2 linked regions of the Macaca mulatta genome follow. The protein of the gene in region 1 interacts with the protein of each later gene in a biochemical or structural test. Links are inferred from orthologs where the notes say so. Each region holds a gene or a part of one and is shown in the gene's direction. Other genes may lie near its edges.

Region 1 (11,232 bases):
CAGCGTCTGAGAAGGAGCGGGAGCCGGGCCTGGGTGGGGGCAGGAGCCGGCGTCACTCTCAGCGGCTGCCCCACACCCCCCAGCCTGCCTGCGAGGCCATGTCGGACTACGAGAACGATGATGAGTGCTGGAGCGTCCTGGAGGGCTTCCGGGTGATGCTCACGTCGGTCATCGACCCCTCGCGCATCACGCCCTACCTGCGGCAGTGCAAGGTCCTGAACCCCGACGATGAGGAGCAGGTGCTCAGTGACCCCAACTTGGTCATCCGCAAACGGAAAGTGGGTCAGTGCTGCCCCGCAGGCCCCAGGTCCCAAACCCAACCAAGGAGCCCGCTTGGAGGTGGCTGCACGCTCTGCCACCCTGACCCTCGACCCCAGGAGAGCCCCGCCTGGCTTTGCCCCTGGCCTCCCAGTGAGGCCCAACCTCAACCCTGGCACATGGCCACCCTATCCCCCAGCCTCTCCTGCCAGCTCGGTGCTGCCAAGAGGGGCAGTGGGACTCCCACCACAGCGGGGGCTCCTGAGACAGCCAAGGGATGGGTGGACAGCACTTTGTCCCCAGCCTAGTACCAAGACCCACAGGGTGCCTCATCCACGACCCAAACCACAGCACACCTCATCTGCATCCCAGCCTCCACCTGTCCCTGCCCCCGGGCCCACCCACCCCAGCCCTCTGCCTCGCCTGTGCCCCGCCCCCAGTTAGGCCCCTCTGGCCCGCAGGCGTGCTCTTGGACATCCTGCAGCGGACCGGCCACAAGGGCTACGTGGCCTTCCTCGAGAGCCTGGAACTCTATTACCCACAGCTGTACAAGAAGGTCACGGGCAAGGAGCCGGCCCGTGTCTTCTCCATGATCATCGGTGAGTGACGGGGAAGGCGGTGGTGGGGGCGGGCAGTGGTGCTGGGTCCTCTGCCCAGCCCCCATCCCTAGGAGCCCTGAGCTCCTGCCACAGCGCAGGGCGTGATAGAGCTGGGCCACCGGGGAACACAGGCACCGTCTAACGCTGGCGCGGCCCACAGACGCGTCCGGGGAGTCAGGCCTGACTCAGCTGCTGATGACCGAGGTCATGAAGCTGCAGAAGAAGGTGCAGGACCTGACCGCGCTGCTGAGCTCCAAGGATGACTTCATCAAGGAGCTGCGGGTGAAGGACAGCCTGCTACGCAAGCACCAGGAGCGGGTGCAGAGGCTCAAGGAGGAGTGCGAGGCCAGCAGCCGTGAGCTCAAGCGCTGCAAGGAGGAGAACTACGACCTGGCCATGCGCCTGGCACGCCAGAGCGAGGAGAAGGGTGCCGCGCTCATGCGGAACCGTGACCTGCAGCTGGAGGTGCGCCCACTGCCCCCGGGGAACCAGGCCCCCCTTGCCTGGCCTGGTGGGGTCTGCAGGCTGGGGCCGTCGGGGGTGGCCCCGTGGGTCCGTTGTCACCGCCTGGAGGGGACAGCCGGGCTCACCGGACCTTCCGCAGATTGACCGGCTCAAGCACAGCCTCATGAAGGCCGAGGACGACTGCAAGGTGGAGCGCAAGCACACGCTGAAGCTGAGGCACGCCATGGAGCAGAGGCCCAGCCAGGAGCTGCTGTGGGAGCTGCAGCAGCAGAAGGCCCTGCTCCAGGCCCGGGTGCAGGAGCTGGAGGCCTCCGTCCAGGTGGGGCCGCAGGCAGGGCGGGTGCAGCCCGGGCAGGACAGCCGGGGCCTTCCCAGCCAGGCCATTGCCTTTTGCCCCCTTCAGGAGGGGAAGCTGGACAGGAGCAGCCCCTACATCCAGGTACTGGAAGAGGACTGGCGGCAGGCACTGCGGGACCACCAGGAGCAGGCCAACACCATCTTCTCCCTGCGCAAGGACCTCCGCCAGGGCGAGGCCCGACGCCTCCGGGTAGGAGGGCAGGCAGGGCGACGCAGCTCCTGGGGGCCAAGCCACGCTGGGTGGGCTGAGCTCCGCCCACTCCGTGCCTGGAAGGTGGGGCCTGGGGACTCCTATGGCCTCCCCCCACATCCCAACTGGCCTGACCACATGCTCCTGAGCCCCTTCCCCGAGTACACCCCACGGGCCAGAATGGGGGGCCTCAGGCCTGTGGGGGCTGAGCTGCTGCCCCTTGCAGTGCATGGAGGAGAAGGAGATGTTCGAGCTGCAGTGCCTGGCCCTGCGTAAAGACTCCAAGATGTACAAGGACCGCATTGAGGCCATCCTGCTGCAGATGGAGGAGGTTGCCATTGAACGGGACCAGGTGGGCACCTCACGGGGCGGGCAAAGCACCCCACTCACGGGTGGGTGCACAGGGCCACACCCCTTGAGGGCAGTTGTCACGGAGTTTTTAATCTTTGCTATTTGTTTTTGAGATGGGGTCTTGCTGTGTCACCCAGGGTGGCCTCAAACTACTGGCCTCAAGCAGTCCTCCGGCCCCAGCCTCCCAGAGCGCTGGAGTTGCAGGCTGAGCTGCCACACCTGGCCTGCTTTTTAAATGACAGAAGTAATATTTAACATTAAAAAAAAGTAAACAGTGATGAAGTCAATACTTCCCCGCCCCAGCCTGCTCTCAGGGAAAACCGTGTTCCACCTTCTGGCTCCACCTTACAGACTTTTACCTGTCATCCATCTATCCATCCATCCATCTATCTATCATCTATCTATTTATCTATCAATCATCTATCATCTATCTATCATTCTATCATCTATCATCCATCTATCAATCAATCATCTATCAATCAATCATCTATCATCCATCCACCTATCATCTATCTATTATCTATCACTTATCTATCTATATATCTTTTTGATTTTATGAAAACATTCTGTCTTGTTTTACCAGTAGCTTTTTTTTTTTTTTTTTTTGAGACGGAGTCTCGCTCTGTCACCCAGACTGGAGTGCAGTGGCCGGATCTCAGCTCACTGTAAGCTCTGCCTCCCGGGTTCCCGCCATTCTCCTGCCTCAGCCTCCCGAGTAGCTGGGACTACTTTTGCTGGGACTACAGGCGCCCGCCACCTCGCCCGGCTAGTTTTTTGTATTTTTTAGTAGAGACGGGATTTCACCGGGTTAGCCAGGATGGTCTCAATCTCCTGACCTCGTGATCCACCCATCTCGGCCTCCCAAAGTGCTGGGATTACAGGCTTGAGCCACCGCGCCCGGCACCAGTAGCTTTTTTTAATCTTGAAAAAAAACTTGGCTGGACGCAGTGGCTCTTGCCTGTAATCCCAGCACTTTGGGAGGCTGAGGCGGGCAGATCACTTGAGCCCAGGAGTTCCAGAGCAGCCTGGGCAACATGGTGAGATCCCAACTCCATAAAAAATACAAAAATTGGCCGGGCATGGTGGCTCATGCCTGTAATCCCAGCACTCTAGAAGGGCGAGGCAGGTGGAACACTTGAGGTCACGAGATCAAGACCAGCCTGGCCAGTATGGTGAAACCCCGTCTCTACTAAGAATATAAAAATTAGCCGGGTGTAGCGGCGGGCACCTGTAGTCCCAGCTACTCAGGAGGCTGAGGCAGGAGAATCGCTTGAACCCAGGAGGCAGAGGTTGCAGTGAGCTGAGATCACACTACTGCACTCTAGCCTGGGTGACAGAGCAAGACTCCAACTCAAAAAAAAAAAAAAAAATTGGCGTGGTGGTACATGCCTGTGGTCCCAGCTATTTAGGAGGCTGAGGCTACAGCAAGTCACCATTGCGCTACTGCACTCCAGCCTGGGCCACCGGAGTGAGGCCTGCAAGGCCTCGAGTGCTACATGCTGTGAGCCGGATAGAGCGTCACGGGGCAGGGCTGTGTCTGCTTCCTATGCCCCGTCCCGAGTCCCATCCTGGAGGTTGTCTCCAATGGACACCACTGCTTCTTCGGCGAAATTCTGGATGGCAGTTTGTCCACATCAGGAGCCTTAAAACGAGACCCCTGGGGCCATAAAGCAAGCCCTGGCCACCATGAGAGCAGCACAGGCTCAGAACTCCTGCGCGGCCCCACCACAGCCTCACTCGCGCCTGGCCCACCCCAAGATGGGGAAAAAAGGGCAGATCCAGTCGTGCCCCCATGGGGGTTGGTGTGGCTCCCAGGGCGAGGGCTCCCACGGGGCTGTGCGGGAGCAGGTTGGCCAGGGATTAGGGAAGCTGCCAGCCGTTGCTCCAGTCCAGTGGCAGGGGTTAGGTGAGGGCCTCCCAGCCTTGGCTGCAGGGGTGGTCACGCCGTCATGTTTGCACGTTCGCTCCTGTACCTACCTCAGCATCTGCAGTGGGGACAGGGGTGGTGAAGAGTGCTGCGCTCATGAAGGAGTTTTAGCCATGGACAGTCAGGGTCCCCATATCAAGCCACATCCAAAATTTATCAAATGTGCACGTGTGTGTGTGTTGGGGGGGCCGGTGCACAGCACACGCTGTGTCCACCGGGGGTGCAGGCTTGGGAGGAGACAGAAGGGCAGCAGGGACAACTGTCACCTTTACAGTCCCTCAGATGCTGACTTCATGTTCACAGAGCACATAAAGGGAGGGGCTGTGGCCAGCCTCCACACCCAGCGGCTTGACGTCCTCCGGGGCCTCTGCTCGGAGCTGGGCAGCCAGGCCGAGGGCCCAGGGCGAGCTTGGGGGCCTCACTGAGGGTCGGCCTTGCACTGTCCCATCAGGCCATCGCCACACGGGAGGAGCTGCACCTGCAGCATGCCCGGGGCCTGCAGGAGAAGGACGCACTGCGCAAGCAGGTGCGGGAGCTGGGTGAGAAGGCAGATGAGCTGCAGCTGCAGGTGTTCCAGCGTGAGGCGCAGCTACTGGCCGTGGAGGGCAGGCTCAGGCGGCAGCAGCTGGAGACGCTCGTGCTGGTGGGCCTGGGGCCTGGGGCAGGGACGGGAGCCAGCGGGTGGGACGCAGGGCCGGGGGAACATGGGCCTTCCTGACCCAACCCTCCTCTGTGACGGGCCCCCACCTAACCGAACCCCCCCTCGCAGTGGGGTGAGGGCACAGGAGCAGCTCAGGGCCCCAGCAGGAAATGGGGCTGCAGGGCCAGGGTGGGTGCTGGGCCTGGCCATCAGGCAGCCTAGCACGTTGCTCTGGGCATGGAGGGGGCCTGGCGTGGCTAAGGGCATGCCCAGGGCTCCCTGGAGGATCCCGCTCTGTGCCCTGCCCACCCTGTGCCTGGGGAGCCCTCTGCCCCCACAGCCCACCCACCCCGTTTTCTATGACCACAGAGCTCCGACCTGGAGGATGGCTCACCCAGGAGCTCCCAGGAGGTGAGTGAGACCCCAGCCGGCACGAGGCTGGCCTTCCTTCACCTGGGGTCCTGGCTGAGCCGCCACCAGGCACAGCCCCACACTGCCCGTCACGTGGCCCTGCTCAGTGGGCTGGGCTCGGTGGAGGAAGAGCAGGTGGCCAAATACTAAGGCCTCCGACAGCTCAAGGGGTAAGGCAAGGCATGGACAGTGCCCAGCTCCTGCATCCTCATGGCGGGACCTTCCTGGCTGGCCTCCCCCACATCCGTCTGCTGAGCACCTGAGTCTCTGAAAAGCTCTGTGCAGGGGGTGATGGCAACGGCCGCACCCAGCTGAGGGCCAAGGGCTGGGGTGGGCAGTGTGGCCGGGTCCAGTCCTTGGCGGGGTGACCTAACGGGACATCTTGCCTCTCTTCGGAAGCTCTCGCTCCCCCAGGACCTGGAGGACACCCAGCTCTCGGACAAAGGTAAGGTGGGGACGGCAGTGCACCTGGAGGCCTCCCGGCTGCCCCAAGCGAGGCCCATCTTCAGCACAGGCAGCCTGTGCCGCAATGCCTGTCTCAGCCCCCACAACCCCCACCCCACAGACGGAAACTAGGGCTGGGGATAAGTAAAATGGCCAAGGTCACCCAGAGAACAAACTACAGAGCCCAGTGGAACCCGGGGCCCAGCTGGTGGGACAAGTGTCCCCTGGGGTGGAGAGTGTGGGGCCCCTCTGGGCAGCCCCCCGGGGTGCAGAGGTGAGCAGGCCCACTGTCCTGAGAGTGTGGGGCCCCTCTGGGCAGCCCCCCGGGGTGCAGAGATGAGCAGAGGGAGGTGGTGATGAGCAAATGCCCAGGGGTACAAAGCTAGAAAGTGGGGCAAGACGGGGCCCCACGTGGCTTGAGGGACAGGGCCGAATGCAGGGGTGGCCAAGGGCCTGCTGTGTCCCGGTGCAGTGGGGGTAAGGCAGTGGTGGGGGCTTCTAGCGGGCAGGGCAGGCCCCCTGTGCCTCTCTGGGGGAAGAACTGGAGTGGCTGGCTGGGAGCAGCCCCCGAGTGCCCAGGAGCGGATAGTGGTGATGAGGTAGGTGTTTGCTCTGAAGGTGGTGTCAGGTGGGAGTCGGGGAGGACCCAGCAGAGGGACCCTGGGAGGCTGCGTGGGAGTTGGACGAGCTTCCCGAGCACCAGGCTGTGGCCTCCAAGCAGAGGCGGAAGGGGAAGGAGGAGCCGCAGATGGGGAAGTGAAGACCAGCACCTTTGGCCGCAGCCCAGAACACTTCAACTTGGGGACGCCAAGCCCCCATGTAGGCACAGAGGCGAGCAGACCCAGGAGTCCAGCTCAGGCACTGCCACCATCTCCCTGGGTGGCTGTGGCAGGAGTGGGGGCAGGCATGAAGGTCCGAGGGTGAGCAGGGGAGGGGCTGGCTCTAAGGAGGGGTTGCCAATGGCCAGGACAGCCCTGGCCTGGCCTTCCCCACAGCGGGGCTGAGACTGGACATGCATGGTTTCTGCCCAAGGGTCCTGACCCTTGGTCTGCCCAGGTCCTGGCGGGTTCTGAGGGGGTCTAGCCACCTGAAGGTTCTCTCCCAATTGTGCAGTACCCCTGCCCCCGCCACTGTAGCTGTTTCCAACTCTCTCCCCAGGGCCGCCATGCCCACAGATGCTTTGGAGTGATGGGGGACAGTGCTGCTCAGGCCAGGGTTTAAGCTCCCCTGAGGTCTGGGAGGCCTTCCTGCCTGGGGGGCAGCCAGCCTCGGGGAGGGATGGTCACTGGCAGGAGCGTTGGGCCTGGGCTGGCATCTGGCGGCATCCTGGAGCAATGAATGGGCAAGGGAGGCCATAAGGCCTCAGTCTCCTCTACAGAAGGCAGAGTCTACACTGGACCCATGTGGGGATCCCACCAGGCCCACAAGGTGTCCGCAATGCCGGGGAGGGGTGGGGCACCCTTGCTGTACGTGGCCCTGCAGGTGGGCAGTCCCCACAGGCACGACTCTCCTTTCCAGGATGCCTGGCCGGTGCGGGGAGCCCGGAACAGCCCTTTGCAGCTCTGCACCAGGAACAGCTTTCACGGACCCCCCATGTAAGGCTTCCTCAGGGTGGGGTCCCCCCAGCTGTGGGCCTCACGGTGGCCGATCCCAGGGAGGGTGGCTCCTCGCCCTAGGCACCCCCTGCAGTGGCCCCGACGACGCTGAGGGGTGACCACAAGGTCTCTGCCCTCAGTGCTTGGGGTGCGGTTGTCTGGGGCGCGAAGTGGATCCCCCTGTTTTCTTGGGTACTGCAGCAGCTTCGGGGGGCTTGGAGGTGGACGTGCCTGGTCCTGGTTTCTTGGGGGACTTTACAGTGGATGCGGAGTCAACCCTGAGTAGGTGAACACAGGAGTCCTGAGAGCAAGGACTACCTCGGGCTTTGTTGTAGAAACAATGGCCAGGAGCCCAGGCCGGAGCGTGGCTTGGCCTCCTGCCTGTGTCTTGGCATCTGAAATGCAGGCTACCCACATCGGCTCACTCCCCGGGTACAGGCAGGTCCCAAGCGCGGCGAGCTTGGCGCTGAGCTGAGGCTGTCTGAGCTCCCCGCCTCCCCACCAGTCTGCAGTTACCGGGGCCAGTGGGGGTGCGAGAGAGAAGGGAGGGTGCCCTCAGGGGAGCCGGCCGGAGCCCAAGCCTTTCCCCTTCTCCAGGACGCAGGCCTGAGCAGCGGGGAGCCGCCTGAGAAGGAGCGGCGGCGCCTTAAGGAGAGTTTCGAGAACTACCGCAGGTAGGCGGGCGGCCCCCAGGCTTCTCCAAAACGGGCTGGGGAGCTGCAGCCGGGTCTGCGCTTGAGACACCTGTGTCTTCGCAGGAAGCGCGCCCTTAGGAAGATGCAGAAAGGCTGGCGGCAGGGGGAGGCGGACCAGGAGACCACCGGCAGCGACAACACGGACACTGAGGGCTCCTAGCCGCAGCAGCGCAGGCCCCGTCCAGGGCACACCCACTGGCCCGGCCTCCCGCCACCTGGGGGTGCCGACGCCCTGGGGCGCAGACTTCCCCCGAGCCGTCGCTGGCTTAGCCTGGAAGGAGGAATCTGGTGCCCTGAAAGGCTGAGCCGGGCAGCCTGGCGTTGGGGGCTGTTTGTTAAGCGGCACTCAGCTTGAGGAGGCCATGCGGGTGCTCGCCACCCCCATGCACACGCCATCTGTGTAACGTCAGGGTCTGTTCTATTTCACCATGTAACACACAATACATGCATTCATTGTAGAAGTGTGAGAAAACACGGCAGCTTAAATAAATAAACAGCACGGGTGACCCGCATTCCCGCTCGGACACTCGCGCGCAGCCCCGCGGCCGTCCCTCCTCGCTGCGGGGCCTCGGTGTCCTCCGGCAGCGAGCTGCACGTGGACGCAGGGCCCCATCAGGCCGCCAGGGGGCGGCAGAGCGCAGCGCGACCCCAACCCGGAGGACGGAAGCCCAGGAAGGCCGCTTCCGCCTGGTGCCCACTTCCAAGATGGCGGCAGGGCGGGGCTGACGGAGCTGGCGAGCGGGATGCTGCGGGCGGTGCTGGGCGGCGCGCCGAGGCTGCTGAGCCGCGTGCAGCCCCGAGGGCCCTGCGTGAGGCGGCTGTGGGGCCGCGGGGCCCGTCCAGAGGTCGCGGGGAGGCGGCGCGCCTGGGCCTGGGGCTGGCGGCGCTCAAGCTCCGAGCCGGGGCCCGCGGCGGCTCTGGGGCGCGTGGAGGCTGCGCACTACCAGCTCGTCTACACCTGCAAGGTGGGCACGCGGCGGCACGGAATCGGGGACAGACCCGCACCTGGCGCTACACAGCCTGCGGGGAGAGGCGGCCCGCCAGGGCCTTCCTGCAGGGGGCGGGGTCAAGTCAGAGGAAGGGGTGGAGCCACAACTTGGGGCGAGGTGGGTGTAGGGCCTTCTGGGAAGGAGGGGAGGCGGACCATGAGGAGGAGTGGAGCCGTTTCGGGGGCGGGGCCTTCCCGGGAGGGGCGTGGCGGCGCTCACAGCCTCACCAGCTGCCCTGTCCCAGACAGGTCTGCGGGACTAGGTCCTCCAAGCGCATCTCCAAGCTGGCCTATCACCAAGGCGTGGTCATTGTGACCTGCCCCGGCTGCCAGAACCACCACATCATCGCGGACAACCTGGGTTGGTTCTCGGACCTGAATGGGAAGAGGTGAGGCCTGTACCCCAGGGCTGGGCCAGGAGTCCACCCAGAACCCTGGCCTCCCTGGGGGAACCGTGCCCTAGTGTGGAGGTCTATAGATCTCACCTCGGCAATCCAGCCACCTTATCAATACAAGATACACAGTTAAATTAGAATTTCCTATAACCCCCAGATAGCTGTTTAGTTTAAGTATGCCGGAAGTAGGGGTTGTGTTTTCATTTGCTAAATCTTGCCAGCCCTGTGGCCCTGCCTCCCTGCCTCTACCTGCCCTCTGCCCTCACTGCCAGTCTTGTCTCTCTGGCGTGGTACTTTTTTGCCCTCTGCCGTCTCGGAGTGGCTGGCCCACGGCAAAGTGTGGAGTGTGGGCCAGGCGGTGTGGCCTGGGCTCTGGCCGCTGGGAGAGCAGTGGAGGTGGTGTTGGGAACCTGGTCCGGGCTTTGCCTGGCCGGGAGGTCCTGAGCAGGACAGTAACAGTGACAGCAGGTCTGAGACCAGCATGCTGGGCACTTGGTGGTACCTGGGCCTTGGAGCTGGGGCTGTCCTCCCATCCGACCTGGGGCTGCAGACTCTTCCCTCTGGCGCATAGGGGGCAGGAGCAGGACTGGGTTCCTGAGGTGGCACATACTGGCAGAGAGACAGGGTTGGTGAGGGCACACAGGCCAGCATCTGAAGTGCCCACGTGGCCTGATGCCACAGGAGTGCTGGTCCTGGTGCTTGCAGCTCTGGCCTGGCCATGGGGCACCCTGAGGGGACTGAAGTGCAGGGTGAGCAGGGGCCCTGAAGAACCTTGTTGCCTCCCTGCCTCCCAGAAATATCGAAGAGATCCTGGCGGCCAGAGGCGAGCAGGTGCACCGTGTGGTGGGCGAGGGGGCCCTGGAGTTTGTTCTAGAGGCTGCAGGGACCCCCACATCTACTGCTGCTCCAGAAGCAGGTGAGGATGAGGGTCCCCCCGGCCGTGGCAAGACGGAGCCGAGCTGACCCCTGTGCTCCCCAGCACTGTGGGACTTCTGCCTTCCAGAAGGATGTTTTGGCCCTGGGCCTCTCTGGACATGGCCTGTTTTCTATCAATAAACAGACATTACTTCCGGATGCTGGGGCCGGTGGCCCTGGTGGCATTTCTTTTTCTGGAGTTAGAATGACTGCTCTGAATCCCTGGTGCTGCTGGGTGGGACACTGGAGCCGCAGGACCTCTCGCCTCACCAGTTCCTCCTACACGGAGTCGCCTTGGACTTGCCCACAGGGGCCACAGTCTCCTGGAAAGGGGGCTGGATGTGGAGTCAGAGCCCCTCTTGTTTGTCACTGCGTGACTTTGAGCAGGTCACCACCCCTGTGAGCCTCAGCCTTCCTCTGCAAGCCCCTTGCCATCCCGCTGGCCAGCTCTGGCGGCCTCCCTTCCGTGAGCCAGTGCAGACCTGAGCCCTGGCCCTCGGCCGCTGGCTGTCGGTGACACTGAGCAAACCGGGCTGCTTGCTGGCCCAGGCAGGACGAGCAGCTATGGTGTGGCCACGTGTCGGGAGCTCCAGGCCCTTCCCGGGGGAGCCATCTGGGCCTCCTCCCCTTGGTGGATGGCGCTCTGGATGCCCCGGGCCCTCCGAGGCACGTGGGGTTTGTCTCCCAGCCTTGTTTGTGCACAGGATGCTCCTGTGCTGATGAAAGCGAGCACACGCAGGAGCCTGTTTATTTGCAGAAGCGTTCTGGGCAGTGTGACCTTCAGCATTAATCACCCACCACACTCTGGCAGGAAAGAGAATGGGGCGAGGTGGGAGGTGGAGGCAGAACTGAGCACGACAGGGACCCAGTGCAGCCCCTGCCAGCAGGACCCGGCCGGGACTGCCAGCTCACATCCGGCCCGTGGGAGGCCGCGACCTGGTGGCATTGTTCCCAGCGCGCTTGTGGTGTGGGCTTTGACTCGATTACCCGTCCTCTCAGCCA
Region 2 (11,876 bases), on another chromosome or scaffold:
CTGCTCCTCTGCCTTCAAGTGGGCTTGAGCAAAAGTAACCTAGATAGGAAGGGACGTGAATGTTGTATCTTGTATTGGTGGATGCTATTACATGCAACAATTTTAAATACAGCCGACTCTCATTACTCTCTGTAGCCCTTAAAGGAACTACAGCATCAGGTTCCTGTGAGCCTCTGGCCACATTTTCAGCAACCAGTCAACATGCAACTTTTATTTATTTATTTATTTATTTATTTATTTATTTATTTAGAGATGGATTTTCGCTCTATCACCCAGGCTGCAGTGCAGTGGTGCAATCTCAGCTCATTGCAACCTCCACCTCCTGGGTTCAGGTGATTCTCCTGCCTCAACCTCCCAAGTAGCTGGGATTACAGGCACCCGCCACCGTGCCTGGCTAATTTTTGTTTTTTAGTAGAGATGGGGTTTCACCATGTTGGCCAGGCTCATCTCAAACTCCTGACCTCAGATGATCCTCCTGCTTCAGTCTCCCAAAATGCTGGGATTACAGGAGTGAGCCACCGGGTCCAGCCACAACTTTGTTTTATGTGTGTTTCTCCTTAAAGACACCTTATTTAATATATGAATTGTTCATTCATTAGCATTGAACTCACAGCCAGCACTACTGTAACTCATGTCTGAACAAAGCTTATCAAGCACATGTATTTTCTCCTTAAGGCACGTCACAGCGTTCTTGTGCTTGACAACACCAGAGAGCACTTCAGCACAATGCTTGGGGCCATTTTAAATAGCAAAATCACCAACAAAAAGCACACACACGAAAAAGAGAATAATTAGCACCAAATAAGTCACAAACACAAAAAGAATACTTGTTTACACCATGAGAGCTGAGACAAGAAGGCAGGGTGTCCCTTTGTTCAACTTCAGCTGCGAACATACGTGTGGGTAAGTCAAGATTTTCACCTCTGCACATAAGTATGTCCACAAATAATAGCAATTGTGCCTCAAGTATTGATTTGAGGGTTACAAATACATTTTAGAAGTAGGTGATTTTGCAAATATTGAATCCATAAATAATGAGGATCAACAGGATCTTTATTTTTTCCGATTACAAAAATATGTATAACAAACAGAGCTATCTAATGTAAAAGTTAAAGTCCCCCCATAATCCCAGCCCACAGATGAACACAATTAGAATATAGCTCTATAGAATTTTTGTTATGCAAATAATGCCTGTGATTGTGTCCAAGTCTGTGGGTGTCTATGTGTCTATGTGTATTTGGGTCTTTCTTTTCTTTTTTTCACTCAACAATAGCTCTGGGACAGCTTTCCAGAAAAAAAAATTCCTGATGTTAATTTCTGGAGTATGAATGGAAGCAGATGGCATACACTGCAGTCAGGATCTCTAAGTCTTAGTTCAGACCATTCAACCACATCAGATGTGGGAAGAGCAATCAATGACTTGCCAAATGTAAAGAAAATCAACAGTTTTAGTGTTCTGCATCTTAATGGAGATGGAATAAGGTCAAGAGAATAAGTGCTCAGAGAATAAAAGGACGGAACACTGGAAAGTAAAGTGAAAGATAAAGAGACTGGGCTGGGTGCGATGGCTCACACCTATAATCCCAGCACTCTGGGAGGCCAAGGCGGGCAGATCACTTGAGGTCAGGAGTTTGAGACCAGCCTGGCCAACATGGTGAAACCCCATCTTTACTAAAAAAACAAAAATTAAGGCCGGGCGCGGTGGCTCAAGCCTGTAATCCCAGCACTTTGGGAGGCCGAGACGGGCGGATCACGAGGTCAGGAGATCGAGACCATCCTGGCTAACACAGTGAAACCCCGTCTCTACTAAAAAATACAAAAAACTAGCCGGGCGAGGTGGCGGGCGCCTGTAGTCCCAGCTACTCGGGAGGCTGAGGCAGGAGAATGGCGTGAACCCAGGAGGCGGAGCTTGCAGTGAGCTGAGATCCGGCCACTGCACTCCAGCCTGGGCGACAGAGCGAGATTCCGCCTCAAAAAAAATAAAATTAAATTAAATTAAAATTAAAATTAAAATAAAAAAATTAGCTGGGCATGGTGGCAGGCACCTGTAATCCCAGCTACTCGGGAGGCTGAAGCACGAGAATCGCTTGAGCCTGGCAGGTGGAGGTTGCAGTGAGCCAAGATTGCGCCACTTTTCTCCAGCCTGGGCTTCAGAGCTCTATCTCAAAAGAAAAAAAAAGAGACTGACTTTCGGCCAGAGAAAGCCATATTCTATGTCCTTTGGAGGAGATTAGAGCTACATATTAAGACTATGTACCGAAAGGATTTAGACAATAGAGTAAAATAGTACCAGAGCCTCTTCTAAAGACAGCTGCAAAATTGGCTGGGCACAGTGGCTCATGCCTGTAATCCCAGCACTTTGGGAGGCAGAGGCAGTGGGATGACCTGAGGTCAGGAGTTTGAGACCAGCCTGACCAATATGGTGAAATCCTGTCTCTACTAAAAATACAAAAATTAGCCAGGCATGGTGGTGTGCGCCTGTAGTCCCAGCTACTAGGGAGGCTGAGACAGGAGAATCACTTGGACCTGGGAGGCAGAGGTTGCAGTGAGCTGAGATCACGCCACTGTGCTTCAGCCAGGGTGACAGAGCGAGACTCCGTCTCAAATAAATAAATAATAAAAGCAGCTGCAAAATAGTATGGAGAAAGCTGGGCTGCTGCAACAAAAGACCCAAAATACAATGGCTCTTGGAAAATAAGTTTACTTCTCACACTCTAGTCCATGTCAGGGTGGCTGTACTTCATGCAGTCATTCAGGAACCCAGGATCCTCCCATATCTTTGCTCCATCAGCCCTTTTGAAGCATTATTGAAGCTGGTACATCTGTGTTCCAACTCAAGAGAAGAGGAAATGGACTATGGAAGAGCAAAAGTCTCATGCCTTACGGTCTATTTTTATTTGTGTTCTATTAGAAAGACCTTAGTCACCAAGTCTCACTCGGCTGCAAGAAGAGCTGGGATGTATGGTCTCTAGTGGACCAGCCATTCCTCTGACTGCTACTCTATTATATAGAAGAATAGCAGGATGCATTTTAGTGGACAGCTAGCAATTTCCATCACATCTCCTTTATTTGAGGCTTGGTATCTTCCTCTATAAAATGGAGATAATAATATAAACTAGTTAAGGCTGCTTTGGGACTCAAATCCAATAATATATGTGAGAATGCTTAGCAAGCCATACTGTGCCAGATAAGAATTTCACATTGATTTTGCCCTCTAGACCACCAGTTCCTTGGGAACAAGGAGCATAGTTTATTCCATCCCCTCACAAAGACCTGCTCGGAGTCAGCATCAGTAAAGACATGTTGAATAATGAAGTCACTGTTTCATCCATCATCAAGTCTTTTTTTTTTTCATTTCATTTCAAATGCTTCAATAATTTAGACTCTGCCCTGTTCACCTTCCCCACCCACTCATTAGGGGTGCACATCAGTGTAGCAGTTGGGATTCTCTGGGTTGCAAAGTGACAATGCACTACTGTTAAACTGGCTTATGCAATAAGATGGACCATCTCACATATCCTGAAGTCCAGACTCTGAATCAGAATAAAAGTTTCTCTTCCCTAGGACTCTCTTGGCCTTGCCCTCCGTTCTCTACCTGCTGTATCCTCAGACTGGGAGCAAGATGGCTACAGCAATTCCAAGCATTGCCACCAAACACATCCCAGCAAAGGGGGCAGACGATTTTGAAAAGTAAAGAGACCCTTTCCTGAATTCCCCTCTTTGCCATAGGCTTCCCCTTTAGTTTTTCAGGCTGGACCTGCCCAAACCATCACTGGCAGGAGGAATGAGACCACCATAATGGACTTGGACCAAACAAGACTCACTCCTGGAAATGGGCTGGGGTCAGCCTTCCTTTGGTCACATGGGGAAGGGGCCACCTGAACAAAATCAGGGCTCTGCCTATAAGAAAAAGTCGAGTAATTGCTGTTGCATGAACCAACTATTTTTCTGGCAATGATGGAGATTCTGGGCCAGATGAGGGTGTGATGGAGAAAGTGTCTAGAGAACTAAACTGAGAGCTTTTTCATCAACTGTACCTCAATAAAGTTTAACACCAATGAAGATATTTCTGGAGGAGGCAGAAACTGGTAGCCACTCTCAATGCCTCATTTCCCTCACCCCCGTATCCAGCCATCACCAAATGTCACCGTGTGTGTACCTGCAATACTCTAGCCTTCTCTCCTTACCCACTGTTGGGGCCCCAGTTCGGGTCTTGCCTCCTGCAGGCACGATGACAACAGCACCTCAGGGGTGCCCAGTCTTTCCTTCTCCTGCAACCCGTGGCGTTGATGCGGTTATTCAGCTACACACCTTTACTGTGTGCTGAGTGCTGTGCATGCACAGACACATCGGAAAAGCTCCCTGTCTTCTTCACCTTGCAGATGGTATCATGAATATCTCCGAGACTTCCTGAAACCCAATCGGACCAGGTCATTCCCTTGCCTGAAAGCCCGATGCCTTCAAGAAATGCTTTACCATGACCCAAAATGCCCTCCAGCCCACCCAGGCCCCTTCTCCACCCCACCCCCGACGGTACAGAATTACTTGCACTTCCTTCACTTCGCTCTCCCCTTTCACGCCTCTATGCTTTTGCACAGGCTGTCTCCTCTGCCTAGAAATCCCTTATCCCCTCTCCATCTGGCACACAAGACAAATTTTCCTATTACTTTTCCTCCCTCTCTCCTGCACCACCCCTCACCCCTTACACACACACACACACACACACACACACACAGCACTCCAGAATTGTTTGCCAATGGAGCAGCCTCCGGGGCCAGATGTTAGCCAGGGCTTTCCAAACTTCTCCCCAAGCACTCCTTAAGAAAGTGAAGAGGAAATGGAACCCCAGGGCTTAGGAGTGTGAGGTCCTTGAACTTGCTCTAAGCAAGCGGGGCATTTCAAGAGTTTTATCTTTATATTTTATGCAGAAATTGTATTCCAAACATATTCTTGTTCATTTTAATACAAAATATGATTTTTTTCTACATCTTCAAATCAATGATCCAGAAAGATGCTCCTTGTTTATTTGTCGTGCTCTCAAATTAGCTGCTGTCCCTGCTCCGCCTCGCCGCGGGGACCCTAAGCGAGACCTGGATGCAGTTCCAAGTACACACCCCAAGGAACAGCTGGGGAGCTGGAGGATGGTGGGGGCGGGGCGGAGGTCAACTGGCTGGCGGCCCCTCCCCTCCCCCGCCCGCTGCGGGGGCGGAGTTGCTTGGGTCCCGCCTACGGGGGCGGGGAGGTAGCCGCGGCCACCGGCAGCTCAGATTCGGCTGGTTCCGGGTTGAGAGGCTGCGCTGGACCGAAGCGGTGGCTGCTAAGCCCGCGGGGGTAAGGGTCCGCGCTGGGCCAGGGTTTGGGGCCGGGATCCGGCAGCTGAGCGGGCCGGCACCCCTCCTCTTCTCTGCCGGTCACAGCCAATGTACGGCTCGGCCTGGCTGCCCCCTCCCCCAGGATTCCCCATCCCTAGCTTCTCGCCCTCCCCCCAAAGCCCCCACCCCGGGATTTCGACCCCTTCAAGGGATCCACCCCTCTCCGGGATCCCCTTCTCCCAGCTCCTATCCCTTAGGACTGCCCCGCCCCCTAGAACCTCCCCGCCAAGATCTCCGTCCCTCAGCCGCTCACGGCCTCCTCCCAGCGTCCATTGACTTGAGCTCCCCACTACCTCTAGACCGCACTCCCGGGCTGGCGTCCCAGGGAGTCTCAGCCGCGCACCCCTTCCTCGCGTTACCCTCCTTCCGGACAGCACCCCCTCCCTTCTCCAGTAGCTCCTACCCCTGCCTGTGCGGGCCTCGTCCCCGCGCCCAGCCCTCGGTGCTGCCTCCAACAGCGCCGCACTCTCTCAGCCGCCCCCCTGCCCCTCGGGCCCCCCTCTCTGCCGCCCCCGGCGCCATGGCGTGCAGCCTCAAGGACGAGCTGCTGTGCTCCATCTGCCTGAGCATCTACCAGGACCCGGTGAGCCTGGGCTGCGAGCACTACTTCTGCCGCCGCTGCATCACCGAGCACTGGGTGCGGCAGGAGGCGCAGGGCGCCCGCGACTGCCCCGAGTGCCGCCGCACGTTCGCCGAGCCCGCGCTGGCGCCCAGCCTCAAGCTGGCCAACATCGTGGAGCGCTACAGCGCCTTCCCGCTGGACGCCATCCTCAATGCGCGCCGCGCCGCGCGACCCTGCCAGGCGCACGACAAGGTCAAGCTCTTCTGCCTCACGGACCGCGCGCTGCTCTGCTTCTTCTGCGACGAACCCGCGCTGCACGAGCAGCACCAGGTCACCGGCATCGACGACGCCTTCGAGGAGCTGCAGGTGCGCTGCTCGGCCGGCCTGGGGCAGGGGCGGGGCCGGGCTGGAGGTGGGGTCGGGCCGGGGGTGGGGTCAGGGCTGGACTGCGGGCCAGACCCAGTCAGAATGGCCCCGGGGCGGGGCCGCCGGCAGGGTCAGGGCCCTATCAGGAGTAACACGGAGCAGGGAGGGGCGGGGCCGCCGCGGGGCGGGGCCGTGGGGGCGGGGCCTTGGGCAGTCCGTACCGGGCGGGATCTGAGACAGACCTGGAGTAGGGGCTGGTCCGTGGTTAGGAAGTCGAGGACGCGGATGGGACGGCGGAAACGAGTGACATCAGAACTGGACCAGATACTGGGCTGGGGCAGGGTTGTGAACGAAGTGGAATCAGAGCTGGGGAAAGGCAGGGCCGCTGTCAGACTGAGGGCGAGGCCGCGAAGATGGGTCTGTACTAAATCGGGTAGCTGAGCTCTGGCAGGCTGGGGGTTCTGTGGGGCCGGAGACTGGATCAGATGTGCATCAGGACTAAGGGGAGTACAGGGGCTAGAATGTGCTGGACAGGTGAGGGTGAAACTCAATAGAGGGGTATAAGATAGGGTGCCAAACTGCTTGAGAGGGCAGGTTTGAGTGCCGAGGGTTAGACCAAGACGTATGAGGGGTTAAAACTGAGATCAGCTCCAGATACTCTACAACAAGTTTAGATTTAAGCCAGAGTAGAGGCCAGATTGAGTGGGGCCAGGACTTGAAAAGTAAAGATTTGGAGAATAAGGCCCAGATGTACGGTGATTCAAGAAGGGAGGGTCTAGACCCTAGACTCTAGGAGTCTCTATGGGTTTTTGATGACCTCTTTGGCTCTGTCCCCCACATCAGGACCTCTGAAGACTAAGCGAAATGGTACATGCAGAGGGACCTGAGCATAGTTGGCAAAGAACTCTAATCGGTTCCCCTTAAGACTTCCTGTCTTCACTGACAAACTCCTACTCAACTTTTAAGGGAAGAACCCTGGTTTCTTCCAATGTCCTCTCTGTGAAGGCTTCTCCAAGCTCCACTGGTTAAAAAAATAAAAAATAAAAAATAAAAAGCATTAGAACTGCATTTCCCCAAATGCTCTCTATTAATAAGTATGGGAAATGTAGTATATTTTTTATACCCACCCCCTTGGAGAATTTTCAGTATGCATTTGCATATTAAAAGCTTAGAGAAGTCTTGTTGCAAATAAATCTATTTTACTGTGTTTAATAAAATGGTTCCCAAGCTTATTTGGGCCTGGAATTCTTTTTTCAAGCTAAATCACTGAAATCCGGCAGTCCCATGTTCCTGGCTTTGGGATACTAGTGGAGCACATAGTTCTCCAAGGCCAGAGACAGTATCTTGTTTCTCCTATCCATGGCCACAAAGCCTGGTGCAAGACCTGGTCCACAGTACACACCAAGAAAGACCAAATGAATGAATGAAAGAATGACCAACGCTGGCGTAAGCTGGACCAGACTATGGAGCATTTGGAAGCAGAAAGTTTTTGGCTCAAACATTTTATGAAAATGGAGCGGGCTAACTTGGGAGGTAATGAGCTCTCTGGCCTCGAGATACTCAAACAGAAACTAAATAACTACTTTCCCCTGTATTGTATGGGCTCCCAATCCCTTCACACACCAGTCTTTGAGTAGGCCTGCACCCAGCAGATGCCCATGGGCCTCAGGAGAAATGGCCCATGTTCACCATCGCCCCCTCCCTGTCCCTTTTATCTCGAAACTACAACTGACTCCCTTCCAGTCTAGCTGTCTGAGGATGAAGACCCCATCAGAGGGTGAGCAAGAGCCTGGGCCTCTGGGAGCCTGCACAAGGCTTGGCCCTCCACCCCCAGAGCCATCATGCTAGGCGCTGCTGCTGTCCATCTCCTTGTCTGCGGAGTCACATAAGCAGGAAGAGTTTGAAGGGACTCTGTCTGAAACCATCTGTCCAACCTCTTCATCATGTAGGAGTGGAAAGTGAGGCCTGTAAAAGTGATGTGACTTGCCCAAGGCTACACTTCCAGACAGTGAGAGAGCCAGGGCTAGAGGGCACAGCCTGACCCAGATCCCTCTTCTCTGATCTCTCCCCTCCCTGTCTGACTTTCTAGCCTCTGCTTCAGAGGCTTGGTTCTCCTGTCTGCAAACCAGGGAATCCAGATTACTGTATGTTGGGCTTCTGTACTCTATCCCATGACCTGGGGGACACAGGAGAAATTGAACATGTATTACCTACAAATACTATTGAAATGCTTCATTATTGGGTGAAAAGTAAAACAGGAGTGCCGCTTGCTTACTCTCTAGCACACTGTCCTGGGGTTGGACACACTTGAGTTCCAAACCTGCCGTGGGCACTGTGTGCCCCTTGATGAGTCACTCCATGTAAACGCTGATGCTCTGTCTGTACAATGGGGTCCAGATGCCTCCTTCCTACCAGGACTTTTGTGAGGCTGACCTGGGATTACCCTGCTATTTGAGGTTCAAAGGCACACAGTACGGGCTGGAATAACATATAGCCCACCTTTTCTCTTTCTACCTGTGAGAGCTCATGTGCCCAGCTGAGTGAATGCCCAGACTCTCCTCTCTGGCCCAAGAAGGAGGCCTTGCTTTGGTGTGTCCTCCGGGCTTGGCAATTGGGTGGCAGAGAAATCTGCCTCCCCTCTGGAGAGGATGTGCTGCTGGGTGAGATTCAAGGCACCCTCCACCCCCACCTGCCTCTCCCTCCATATGGGGAAGGCTTATTAGCTATTTATGCAGCAGAAATAAGGCTGAACCCACCCTCACATCCCCTTCTCTCCCAGCAGCTGATGGAGCTGGGGCCCTTCTCCTGCAGAATTACAGACTCAGAGCCGGCAGGGTCATGCAGATCATCTGGTGCCACGCCCACTTGACAGATGGGGAAACAAGAGAGGGAGAGGGAGGAAGGGGACTTGCCCAAGGCCTCGAAGCCAGAGGAGGCTGGGCCTGTACTCAGCCAGAGTCTCCTAACACTCTACCTAGCAGTTGGCCTGGAGCTTTTACATTTATTGTAAATCCTTGAGGCATCAGAGCAGAGAAATTAAGAGCCCTGCTTTGTACTCAGGTAATCTCAATCCTGGCTCCACCATTTACTGTGTGACTTTGGTAAGATTATTTACCATCTCTGAGCCTTGGGTCCTTCATGGATAGCATGGAAGTAATTATATTAGGATTAAACAAGATGATGTTTATAAAAGCTTAGTACCTAACAGCACTCAATAAATGACAGCTATAGTAGGTTACATCGTCCTTGGCACTGTTGACATTTGGGGCTAGATAACTGTTGTGCAGGGCCATCTTGTGTGTTATAGGAAGTCTGGCAGCATCCCTGGTCTCTACCCACTAGATGCCAGTAGCAAATTCCACCCACCTCCCAAGTTGTGACAATCAAAACCATCTCCAAGCATTGACAAATGTCTCCTAGAGTCAAAATCACCTCTAGTTGAGAAACCTGACCTAGAGAAGTCCTACTCAACTTTAAAACTTCAGGTCAAATATCACCTCCTCTGTGAAGCCTTCCCTGACCTACTAAGCACAATTGCTTTGTACTCCAGATTCCATCACAGGGGTCAGACCTGACATGCTGTGTGTCCTTGGTCACGTTACTTTGCTTCTCTAAGGCTCCTTCCCTAAGGTTCATCTATAACATAAGGATATGACATTCCTGGGAAGGATGTTGTAAGGGTTAGGAATCCTTTATCAGAAGTGCCTAGTACCGTGCCTGGCACAGTAGGTACCCCGAAACTATTTTTAAATATCTTTGTTCATTATAAAATTAACATAAGAAGCAGAGCTATATAATGTAAAAGTCCCCCCCATAATCATACCCCATGAAACATGGCAGGAATTACTATATAGTTCTAAGGATTTTTGTGTAACCTGTGTGTGTGTATGCGTGCATGCATGTGTGTATGCATGTGTGTACATGTGTGCACGTGTGTGTGCATATGCGTGTGTGTGCGTGTGTGTGTGTGTGTTGGCGTCTTCCTCCCCACCTCCACTGCTGAGTACCTGGACCACTGAGCAAAGTGGAGGGAGGGAGCCCATTTCCAAAGAGTTCAGGGCTTCTCAGCCAATATTCATTGAGCCCAGTCTGAATGCCTGGGACTGCACTAAGAGCTTTTCTTGCATTACCTCATTTAATCTTCATAGCACCCTGTGGGATGGGTACTGTTATCTATTTCTTTTACCGATGAAGTAACAAACTCAGAGGAATTAAGTGACTCATTTGGTCACCCAGCTGGTAAATGGCAGGGCCAGGATTTGAAGCCAATCTGACTAGGCCACATATCATCCCTGAGCTGCCTCTGAGGGTTGGGTAATTGTCTCCCAGCCACCCTGCTTGTCCTGTATTGACAGGGCCAGGCCATCTGTCCCAGCTGACGCCCCGAGGGCAGGTGGTTGGGACGTCATCTTGGTCAGACCAGGCGTGGCATCCGGCTCTCTGGCCATCTCAGGTTCCTAACCCCCAGAGAGGGCATCCAATTCAGTCTCAGCCGCCCCCTCCAAGCCTCATGTGACCGTTGGAGCCCTTCCCAAGGCTTCCTTCATGCCAGAGAAGACAGCAGTGGATCAGCCTTGGGCGCAAGCCCTGGCAGGCAGGGTATGGTGATCCAGTGACACCAAGACAGCCACCCAAGGAGGGAGTGGGGCTGGGGGCTAGGTTCAAATCCCGGCTCTGGTTTCTTCCAGGAGAGGGGGTGACACTCTTTTACCCAATCTGAGAAATGGAAGTAAGAACTAGCCCTCCTGCTTTATGTGGAAAGAGAGAGAAAGAGTTGCTAAATATCCAAAGAAATGACAGATTCAGAGGTACTTTATTTTGTAGCATAGAAAGGAAGGCAGCTGGGTTGTCTGTGTTCTGGGGAAGTGGCTCTGCTGTTACTTTTCCAAGGAGAGGGCAGGATTTCTCTGCCAACAGCAGCCTCTGTGAGGGCAAAGCTGGCTGGGCATGGTGGCATATGCCTGTATTCCCGGCTACTCAGCACAAAGTAAGTTATGGGGCACTTACTGTGGGCCAGGGGCTTTCTTATGGGCATTTGATCCTCACAAGGATTTTTTTCTTTCCCTACTCCCTGAGTGGGACTGAGATCAGTACCATCTCACAGATGAAGAAACTGAGACTGAGAGATTCAGTAACTTTCCCAAGATCACACTGCAAGTAGGAGGAAGAGCTGAGATTCAAACTGGTCTTTCTGACTCAGAATTCACCCTCCTTCCCAACATGCCAACTGTCCCAGGGAGCACCCAAATGGGGAGGAACCTGAGAAACCATCAAAGAGTTGACACTCTCCCCATTTTGCAGATGGGGAAACTGGCTTGCCCAGGGTTAGACCAGAGCTCAGCTCTCCTGACTGTCAGTCCAGTGTTGTTTCCTCAGTACCATTTACCTTCCTAACCTCCATCTTTGCTTGAACACTCAGAGTGGATGAGGAAGATTTGGAGGTGAGTTCTGTCTTGGATTCAGGGATTCACTTAATAATTTCTGGGCTGGGCGCAGTGGCCCACGCCTGTAATCCCAGCACTTTGGGAGGCCAAGGCAGGTGGATCACCTGAGTTTAAGATCAGCCTGGCCAACAT

What was found.
Region 2: of the proteins of CARD9 (region 1) and TRIM62, one has a biochemical effect on the other in vitro, tested with the Homo sapiens proteins (4 studies listed by BioGRID, with this or other methods). The link is inferred for Macaca mulatta from reciprocal best matches to the Homo sapiens genes CARD9 and TRIM62.

The regions. Positions count from the first base shown.
Region 1 is NC_133420.1:6,139,575-6,150,806, forward strand, and holds the end of CARD9 (caspase recruitment domain-containing protein 9), read left to right. Parts: coding exon of another isoform or gene 1-83; coding exon 84-282; intron 283-719; coding exon 720-857; intron 858-1,017; coding exon 1,018-1,322; intron 1,323-1,461; coding exon 1,462-1,641; intron 1,642-1,725; coding exon 1,726-1,869; intron 1,870-2,095; coding exon 2,096-2,221; intron 2,222-4,598; coding exon 4,599-4,790; intron 4,791-5,156; coding exon 5,157-5,198; intron 5,199-5,597; coding exon 5,598-5,643; intron 5,644-7,160; coding exon 7,161-7,237; intron 7,238-7,377; coding exon of another isoform or gene 7,378-7,527; exon of another isoform or gene 7,528-7,630; intron 7,631-7,834; coding exon 7,835-7,911; intron 7,912-7,995; coding exon 7,996-8,092; 3' UTR 8,093-8,444; downstream 8,445-11,232. Other genes in the region: DNLZ (DNL-type zinc finger protein), read left to right, coding at 8,676-8,897, 9,170-9,309, 10,110-10,231. UniProt on the Homo sapiens protein: Adapter protein that plays a key role in innate immune response against fungi by forming signaling complexes downstream of C-type lectin receptors.
Region 2 is NC_133406.1:207,674,594-207,686,469, forward strand, and holds the start of TRIM62 (E3 ubiquitin-protein ligase TRIM62), read left to right. Parts: upstream 1-5,271; 5' UTR 5,272-5,892; coding exon 5,893-6,300; intron 6,301-11,876. UniProt on the Homo sapiens protein: E3 ubiquitin ligase that plays a role in antifungal immunity by mediating 'Lys-27'-linked ubiquitination of CARD9 downstream of C-type lectin receptors; leading to CARD9 activation, followed by activation of NF-kappa-B and MAP kinase p38 pathways.